2 linked regions of the Drosophila melanogaster genome follow. The protein of the gene in region 2 interacts with the protein of the main gene of each other region in a pairwise test. Each region holds a gene or a part of one and is shown on either strand. Other genes may lie near its edges.

What was found.
Region 1: the proteins of Pgant1 (region 2) and La interact in a two-hybrid assay, tested with the Drosophila melanogaster proteins (one large-scale study listed by BioGRID).

Annotation. Positions count from the first base shown.
Region 1 is NT_033779.5:20,347,638-20,351,637, forward strand, and holds La (La autoantigen-like), read right to left. Parts: upstream 2,376-4,000; 5' UTR 2,288-2,375; coding exon 1,313-2,287; intron 1,242-1,312; coding exon 1,044-1,241; 3' UTR 756-1,043; downstream 1-755. UniProt on the Drosophila melanogaster protein: May be involved in transcription termination by RNA polymerase III. Binds RNA and DNA. Binds to precursors of RNA polymerase III transcripts. May play a specialized role during fly development.
Region 2 is NT_033778.4:15,510,081-15,516,290, reverse strand, and holds Pgant1 (polypeptide N-Acetylgalactosaminyltransferase 1), read right to left. Parts: upstream 4,582-6,210; 5' UTR 4,560-4,581; intron 4,480-4,559; exon of another isoform or gene 4,478-4,479; 5' UTR 4,188-4,477; coding exon 3,526-4,187; intron 2,725-3,525; exon of another isoform or gene 2,670-2,724; coding exon of another isoform or gene 2,659-2,669; intron 2,546-2,658; coding exon 2,024-2,545; intron 1,895-2,023; coding exon 1,273-1,894; 3' UTR 694-1,272; downstream 1-693. UniProt on the Drosophila melanogaster protein: Catalyzes the initial reaction in O-linked oligosaccharide biosynthesis, the transfer of an N-acetyl-D-galactosamine residue to a serine or threonine residue on the protein receptor.

The sequences.
Region 1 (4,000 bases), on a different chromosome or scaffold from region 2:
CGTCGCTACACATTATATTATCGCAGATCGCAACGCGATGCCGTTGTTTATAACTGTTCAAAGTATGCGTAAAAGTTGATTAAGTACATGTAATCATAACTCTTGTATCCGCATATATCAAATGCACATATATTCGACCTTACTTGTACCCTGCTCCTGCATTCGTTTCAGCACGAGCGACGTATTGATCATACAGAATACATCGATATTCGCAATACGATTCCCAGTTCAGAAAAAAAAAATTTCGATTGTTGAAATAGTTATCCGAAAATGTTGTGAAACTTTTGTGCTTGCGCAGATCTTTGTTTACGTTGTGAAGTTTTCGTTTTGTTCCCCTATTAACTACAATGTCAATGTATAACGCAAGAACTACTTGATAGCCTAATTTAATTTTAGTCGGCGTTGCTATGCAGCCCAAACTATTTAGTTAATTCGCTTAGTTTTAATTCTCCCTAAGTGCGTCTAAGTTGTAAGCGACGTCTATATAATTGTACAAGCTGATGATGCAAAGCAAACCCCTAACGAACATTATATTACCTAATTGTAGCTGCTATTATAGTTTTTCTAACCGTTTTTGAACAATTTTGTTTGATTTATCTGTAATTGTAAATGCATTTAAGTACTTGTAATATTAAATTTTATGCTTTTAAGTTAAATTCATTTACAATAATTTAATACACACACGAACACACAAAGAGATCGAAAATACACAAAACAGCAATAATAAATGAAAATACAAACTAAAGAACAAGATTCAGGTTTTACACACTGGTCTTTATTTGTAGCTTTCTGCTGAGGGAAACAATTGGATTCATAGTCTTCTATGTAAAATAAATTAGAGCCCACCTCGTTATTTAGGTAACAGACTATACATGCATATTTGAAGAATATTCTGTACCTGCAACGATTATTTTGAAAACTAAGAGAAAGCAAGTATTATATATGTAAGGCCTTAAAGCTAGGTCAACTAGATCTACCGAGTAACAATTAAGCTTGGTCTACTGCGATCAAAAGACTCGGGTGGCGGAATATAGGTGGATGAGTTAATCCCCACGCGCCTTCTTACCACCGCCATGTTTGTGGTCGTTTCCGCCGTGGCGCTTGCGATTGAAGCGCTTGCCCTTGTTCCTGGTGAAATCGCGTCGCTTCTTCATGAATTCTATGGCCTTGTCGATGAACTCCTTCTCCTCCTCCTCGGTGGCCTTTCGCAGCGACAGAGAGACCTCATCTTTGAACTTGAGCTGTGGATAGGCAAGTACAATTACGGATTAGCTGATAAGGGAAAAGTTATAATCCCAATTCTGATTCTTACCTTGCCTTCCTCCACCTTGGCAATGTACTTTTCGGCCGCATCGGCCTCCGTCAGCCGCACAGAGCCCTTGGTTTCGCCCTTGGCGAACTCAATGTAGGCCACCTCGAAGTCCTTGATCTTCTCGAAGGCTTCGCGAATTTCCTCGCGGCTAGATGTCTCCGGAGCGCCCTCGAAGACAACAATGGCGTTCTTGGGCAGCTCGAAGGCAGGCTCAGGCTTGGCCTCCTTTTTGTTTTTGCGCTTCTCGTTCTTCTGGGCGTATTCCTCCTGCTTCTCCTTAAGGTAGTCCACCTGCCATTTACGCAGCAGCTCGCGCTCCTTATAAACGATCTTCTCCTGTTCGAGGAAGGCCTTTGCCTGGTCCTTGGTCTCGAAAGTAAGGAAGATGCTGCCCTTGAACTTGTACGACTTGGTGGGCTTGTCATAGTGCTTGCGCATGGTCAGGTTGACCACTTTGTCGTAGTTGGCAGCAAAGTCGAGCAGTTCGCTAATCTGCGAATCTAGGGGGAAGCCCTTGGCGTATGCGGTCCGCTCCTGGATCTCCTTGCGCCGCTCTTCGTTGTGCTCTGGAATAGGACGCTCCGGATGGCGACGCAGGCTAAGTTTGTCTTCGCTAATCTCCACGAGGCCCTCCTCGGATTTGTTCAGGGCAGCCACGATCTCAGATAAGTCCGTGGACAGGGAGGCCAATCTCTTGAAGGTAACGAGCACCGACAGGGGCACCCAGCCGTCCTCGTTCTTGCCGATCTGCTCGCGCAGAAACTTGTCCCGATTCAGATTGGCATCGCCGAAGTAGTACTCTACCTGCCGGATTATGGCGCGCTCCTGTTTGGTGAAGCCGCCAGCGGCTTCCTCTGCTGCGGGAGCCGGGTCCTTCTTGGCGTCGCCGTTCTTCGCCTCCAGCACCTGCGCCTCGGCGGGCTGTGCTACCTCTTCCTGGGCTTCCACACTCGGGGTTTCAGCAACTTCGGCCATTTTAGCTGTGAAAATTTCGCAAAGAACTGAAATGTGCGCTCACTGAAACACGTGTGAAATCGGTAAAATGAGTCACGGCGTTTGACAACACTAGCCCCGAAATGCCGTGATAGAGATGCACAGGTCAAAAACCGTGACTAGCGCCAAGCATTAACTTGAAAATGCAGTGCGGACATCTTGACCAAAGACCCTAGAATTCTAGTGTCTTTGTCTTGACTATGTATTATTTAAAGGCTTTGAAAATATACGTTTGATTATTTAATTTTTGTAGTAGTGGTAATGGTAATATATCAACAAGAATTAAAAAAAAACCTTTACTCATTTACAATTACCGCGATATTCAAAAACAAGAACATACCAAACTAAAACTTATAATTCAAAATATATGTGACGAAAAGTGGTTTATATTATTTTTGAATGTGATTTATCAATTTACTCCAAAACTATCGATGCAAAGTTACGGAATGCTCCCCGATAGCCCTATCGATGCCGAGGACCTGTTGGCACGTACACATCTTTAGTTTGGCTGCGGCCGATTGCAGCCCTGGTTTTCTAGGTTTCTATTTTGGTCGAGCGCTGTGTTTTATTTATGTTTGCCATGGGAAAAGAGAGTTGCTAAAAGTGCCTAAATACGTGCACCTGGTTCACAAACGGGCGCTCCAACCAGTTGACCCCAGCCCCACGGAATCGGCATATGAGTAAACAAGTATTTGAAAAAAATAGTGAGAGCAGTTCAAATCGCGTCGGCCTAGAAAAGAAACCAAAAAATCGGGCAATAAATAGTGAAAAGTGTGCTCCTTTTGCTATATAACCAATTGTGTATATATAATAACAAGGGTGGATAAGTCGCGCAATCAACGAAACTTGGAAAACTAAACTATTAGTCACTATTCTATTATTGCTCAACGAACGACAGGGAACAACAACAAACGGATCAACAAATGTTTGATAAAACGCAACGCAGCTGAAGGTGAGCGAAAAACTAAAGTGGTTAAGAAAACCCTTCAGACAGCTTGGCTGCAATATATCTAGCCGTGGAAATGAATCAGGTTTTCCAATAACTGCTCGTCTGGCCAAAGGTTCAGTGGCATCTGAAAATTCACCCCACTATGCGTCATCCAAGTAGAGGCATCATAGACATCCCCACAACGGCAGACACAATCAAGCCTTCCTATAAGAACCGCCATGGGTTTTTACATACATATATGGCATATATAATAATAGAGCGGGTTTTCTTCCTTATTTCCCCTTGAGATTTTAATATACCCATACTGCTAAATTCTTCATCGATGAAGATATCTCTTACAAGAAGCATTTAGTTGACTGAATTATTGGTTTTTTTTTTTTTTTTTTTTTTTTTTTGTATTTCAACACTTTCTTTTAAGCAACATATTTATATAGAAAATCTAATACATTTTTAGACACATGACAAAATCCTATTTACGTTAAAAACAGTTTCAATCGTTTAGTCCCAACAAAGGACATTTAAAGCTTAAAGCTCAAGAATACATTTTATGTAATGACTCCTGTACTTTCGGCACAACTGTTGTTCAACTTGCTGCTGCTCGTGCAATAGTAATTTGTTGCCGGTTTCTGGAGTTCAGAGGTCCGCCTGCATAATCCATTGGGTCAATAGCAGGGCTCCTCGTGGGGCATCCGTTCCAGCTCCTCCCGAAAAGCGTTTGTTTGCTAGCACTCGCTGCGAAAGTAAAA
Region 2 (6,210 bases):
TCTTAGAGCTTTTAGCACGGTCAACGAATAAATGTTATTACACCACAATTATAGCTCGACTCCATCAGCCGTTAAATAAACTATCCAAGAGTTCAGTCACGAGTTAATGAATAAACTAAACCATATGCTAGACCTGCTTTATCATAGTACACAAACAGACGCACCAAGCAAAAAAACCATTGTTGATGAATTTGGTTCGGTTCGTTCGGTTTGTAAGTACGGATATGTCAGTTTAGTTCACTCCACACTAGTAGTTGCAAATGCAGAACATAAAAGAATAGACTAGAGTGCAGAATATAGTTGTCAGCAGCGGAAAGAGTAAAGATAATTCTGGTAATTTACAATTGTTTTACTCCAATTTAAGTATTTTAATGCCAACACGCCAGAGAAATTAAACAAAAAACACAAGCGTAATCAGCAAATTTGAACAACTTCAACAAAGCAAAACAAAATAAAAGAGAATATGAAATATGTACTTATATCTATAAATACAAATATACAAACATGCAATGGACATTTTTTAATGGAGTTGGCTTTAATTTCACAGCTGGGGGGTAAATGTGGACCAGTAGAGCTGCTGGGTCAACAAGCGGCCACTGCGATATTAACGCTGAACTCGGCCTTGACTGCTACTAACTGGTTACATTTTGTTGGCCCAACACCTTCGACCCAAGGCAGAGGCTACTAATGGTTCGTTTGAAGATGTACATCCTCCAGTCGGAAGTTTTTTTTTATTCATGAAAACAAATGGCAAAATGGTTATGTAGATAAATGCTTACAACACTTTTAGTTTACAGTTTACATAGTTGGTTATTGCTGGATGCTCTCACGCAGGAGAGCTCCTTGTTGAATCCCTGGCCATGGAATGCAATCGTTCCACACCCTGCCTTACATCCTTACACGATCACATGGCGACTATATCATTTACATAGGATGGTTCGACTCTATTCTTACAACTTGCTCTATTTATATTTATACACACAAAGTACACAACACACAGTTAATTGTTATTAGCTTTCCAAATGACTCGTTTGCGTTTGATTTGCTGGTTTCTTATTTTGATTTGATTCCTTTCGATTTGATTTGCACTAGCTACCCCGTTTCTTCTTAATATACACGATTTGTGTACACAAAATATATAATTCTAGGATTCGATTTAGGTATTTACAAAGGGTTGTTCTAATTTGAATTCGAGTTCCGTTCAGTCGGCGTTAGTCAGTATCTCTCAGTTGCTTTGGTCCCCATCCCATTCCCCCGCTACACCCTATCTCCTCAGTGTTCAATGGTCCATCGTTGGGATTCGCTGTGGGGATCGCAAGGCGCCACCTGGGCGTCGTCCAGGCTTTTGAGTCCCTGATGATCGAGGCACATGCCCGTGTTGCTGTGAATGATGTGCTGGTGCTCGTATCGCCACTGCTCGTTGAACTCATCATTCTCCATGCAGGGCACCATCACGACCCGGTACGGTGGGGACTCGCTGTGCTGCACGGTTGCACAGCTTAGCTCGTTGCGCAGGACATTTGTGTTGGTGAAGGAGAATAGCTGCGACTTCTGCAACACCTTGCCGCATGGGTACAAGCCGGCGTTATAGGGCTTTTCGTTGTTCTGCAGCAAATCGTCCAGACATATGTTCGAATTCACAGCGTGCACTTTACCCCATCCCTGCACGTCCTTCGTGGGCACAAACTTCTCCGGATAGATGTTCTTGAGGTACCACTCGAAGCTCTTGCAGCGGAGCTTTTTGCGCAGCATTACTCGGTGGGTGACATCTCCAATGTCCGCGTGGAACTTTAGGTCCGGCCGGTTGAGGAAAAATATGTTGATGTACTCATCCATCCAAACCAGAGCCATGCGGGCAGTATTAATACCGTGTGTATCGCGATCGTTGGGGAATCTATAAAGAATTTAAATGAGTTCATTATAATGCAGCAATAGATAATGGCAGATGACAATAAAGTTACTATAGTTCGCTTCGAAGGTCAGCTTCATCATAAATTATAAGTATATAGTTCGTTTCGCTTACTTGTAAGGATGGAAGTCGCGGAATATGTGTCCAACGCGGGAGCAGGGAATAGTCTCGATGGTGCCGCCGCACTGCCAGATGCGAAAGGACATCTCCAGGTTCTCACCACCCCAACCGTCCATTTGTTCGTCGTAGCTGCCCACTTCCCAGAAGTAGCGACGATCTATGGCAAACAGTCCGCCGGCCATGGTGGGACTGTATGCTGGACAGATCTCCCGCTCCTGCTTGCATTCGCGTCGCTGGCGCTGCTTCTCCCGCTCCGGCAGATTGATCCAGTCAAAGTGGCCATTCCACTGGAATCCGCCGACCTGGAAGGATTTGTAGCCATTTGTGCTGTACTGAAAGTCGTTGGCATCGATGACATCGATAATGGGCACCAGCACGCTAGTCCGCGACTCCTTGATGCGCTGCAGGAGTGGCTCGCACCAGCCAATGTTACCCTCGCAATGGGCATCCAGGAAGATGAGCACATCCCCCGTGGCGATTCGCGCTCCGGCCAATCGGGCACGAATCAAACCCAATCTGCAAAGAGACAGGCGAAAACTTTCTTTATGCTATGTGAAGGGCAAAACAAAACAAATTTATTGGGTCATTCGAAAACCTTCGATCGTCTGCCAAGCACGATTAACACCAACCTACATGGCATCCACCGCGTGAAGTCATCCGAAAGTCTGCAAAGCTCACGGGCTGACGAGTGTAATGCACGCAGAAACCGAGTCTGGGAGTTACAAAAAGTCAAGCCCAACACACATAATCGTAACTTGACGAACTGGTTTTCTCTTCATTTTGTTTTTCGGTTTTTAGTTTTTGGTTTTTTGAGCGTTTGTCGGTTCTGGCCAAAAAGAAGATGCTCCATGCGCGTCTGACATGGCAAACAAGTTATTCAAATGAGTCCAAGTCGTCAGCGTTTCGATTAGCCAAATTACTGAACTTTTCCTAGCCCATAGGCAATAATGGAAATTATCTAGGTGTCAAATTTTCACCTTTTTTGCATTGTTGCACTTATGAACAATAATTAAGAAACGTGTATATACACTTGATTTCGATTTTTAATATATATAAATATAAATAAATATATAAATAAATATAATAAATGCTTCGAATTGTGTCTCAAAAACACGAAAGCATGCTTTAAGTTTAACACTTAGTATTTGCATATGCCAAAAGTCGCATTGAAAGTGAATGAGCAAGTATAACTACTATATTGGCCACTAATCAAGTCTATAATTTCTTGAGGGTTTCTAAAGTACTGGAGTGGATGAAAACTTTATCACATAAACAAGATTGGATTTCTATAGTTTGGCCATTTTACTGGAATTCCTTTTAATTCCTTTTTATCTTGCGGATATAGCTCACGTATTTTTGCCATTCTAGATTGGGAAAAACCGAACATCTTTTTCTGAAGTCTTTGGCGCAAACAGCTATTTCAGATACATTTGTTCTTAGTTAGAGTAACGGCAGCTCGACTTTTTTAGGTCAGACACCTTGTAGCTTCAACTCACCGGTTCTTGAGACGCAGAATGGTGACCTTCCCCGAGGGAATCCGCGTGCGAACATAGTAGTCCAGCTTGGCGCCCAGTTCCACGTTGTCGCTACCGTCATCCACCAGAATAATCTCCTTCAGGGCCTTCTCGTTGCAGGTGCTCAGAGTGCTGTGCACGGTCCTCAGCAGCACGGAGTAGGGTTCGTTGAAGAAGATGATGACCACACTGGCGGTGGGCAGGGAGTCGGAATCAAAGCGCTGTTTGGCGCACAGGGGATTCCGGTGGTCACCGACACTCCGGTTGTAGGTCAACTGCTCGCTTAGCTCCTCGTTGAGGGCAATCTTCTTGTAGATCTCATCGCCTCGTTCCTTGGCGGCACCGGAAAGATGCACTGCCACGCCCTGTTCGCCGAGTCCCACCTTCTGTTTCTGAAGATCCAGTTGGATTATTTGTTCGTACGGCGACTGGGTGGCGGGTCGGGCTATCTCGTTCTCACTGTCGCTATACGCCTCGAACCGCTCGCGCCCATGACCTCGCAGAGCGGCCGCCCGGACGAGTGGCGCTACAGGTGGCTCCTCTGGTGAACCATTCTGCTGCACCTTGCTGTAGAGGATGAAGCAGAGGGCGACTAGGATGAAGATGATCAGTTTGCCGTAAAAGGAACGGAACCGAGGCAGCATGTTGGCTTAAAATATCTTTTGACTGGGACTGCTGGTATCTGGGATTCTGAGGTAGCACTAGCTTCACTTCTCCACTCCAATCTGACTCTGCGGATCGGATCGTGTGCGTCCGCTGTCCGATTTTACCCGCTATTCGATCATTTAACTCCGATTCGCTGGCGAAAAATCCAGACACTTTGTAAGTATGATTCGTGGCTTCTCGGTTCGCCCACAATACCACAAATTCCAGTTTCTTCCCGCTTTCCGTTGAGCGCCGCGCACCGCCGCTTTGTGGAGTGGCTTAAACTAGACTAAATGGCAATATTAATTCTAAGCGCGACTGCCACAACAACAAATCAAACACAACAACAATAAAAAACAACGAAAACTTACTCGGGCATGTTTTCTATACGCTGTTGCTTCAAGCGTTAGTACATTTTGGGATACTTTTGCAGCAACAGCTGTTAAGTCGGCGCTTCGCAGCACTGCCACAGTGGGCATTGCTTGAAAACTTATCGTTCACTGTTATTAATTAATTATAATATATTTATAATAACAGTTTTTATTATTTGTACAATCCAGGTTATTAGTGTTCTGCACATAATACAATGTGAAAAACTACAAAATTATATTTAAGCCTTTGTTTGTCCTGTAGATTTGTAATAAAGTCTTACAGAAAACGTGCTCATATAATTTTGTCTTTTTAACAAAATTTTACATCTTTGTGCTTTAAGAAGATGTAAATAACTTTAAGCAAAGACAAAGACCACTTTACCAAAAAGGTCTTATACATATATCAGTATTCTCCAGTGTCTTTTAAACTGGTTTTATAAGTCAGATAACTAGGCTGCTTGGACAACAAAATACATTTCCCTAAAATTTTTTTTACATTTTATATTAAGAAAATCTCGATTAGTTGTAAGGTAGCTTGGACATTTTTTTTAAAACAAATTTGAATATAAGAAATCTACAAGTTTTTAAGAGTCTGACAAAAAAATTTTTTTTTAATAATTTAGACTATGATTTGTATATTTATTTGTATAAGAACTAATCCTAAATTGCATTATCAAAGCCGATTCGTAAGACATGGTAACTATACGCCTAATAGTCATTTATAATGATATACTATTGGAAGCAGTGTCTGCCGTGTAGATCGTACCAATTTAATGTGTGAGTATAAAACTAATAATTATAATTTATAACCAACAAGCATGCCAAGCCACATAGTTGTCACATCAATTGCGAAAAAAGCGGAAATTTAAATCACAAAACTTCCTGCCCCCGAGTGCCGTTGAAAACGAAAGGGACTGACCGACCGACTGACTGTCGCATTTGACACCTTGGCCGGCACTTAATGCACAAATGGCATGTTCATTTGTTGTTAAGGGGCAACAAATGGGTTTTCCATTAAAAACTTGTTGCTACGCCTCTTGGTCCGAACATGCAACCAAGCACCACATGTTGCCAGTGGAATTTGTCTCTGGTGGCTTGTTTAAATCTCATTTGAATTCTAATTGAGATTGGTTCTCATCGCAACTTTCATTTTGTAATGCTTCGAATTGATGCCAACAAGATTGGCCCCATTTCGTTGGGGTCTGTGATTAATTTGGCTAATTAACGTACGACTCCAAAGTGCCAGTTGCTGTTTTTAAGTGAGCTCTTGGGTCGCATAATTAATACGTTACGTATACGCATTGGTGTCGCTGCGGGAGGCGCCACCGGCCACCAGATCGGCGACCCAGCAGATAAATTAAAGTTCAAAGTGCTCCACAGCCATGGTAATTGGAGTTTTGGAGTTGTGGGAAGCAACCGTTGAGTCGCTGAAAGGTGGCAACTGTTTTGCCAATCTTCGCTAAAACTCCCTAATGGCTTTGAGCGACAAAAACTAGGAAGGAAATAAGTTACTCTCTGGCCGGGGCTCAGTGGGATGGGGCCTTTGTTTTAGTTGCCGAAAAAAAAAGAAAGATGGAGCAAAAAGGGGGAGATATATGCATATACATAGATACGTACGACGTGGAACCAGACGAGATTTTGGAATTTCATT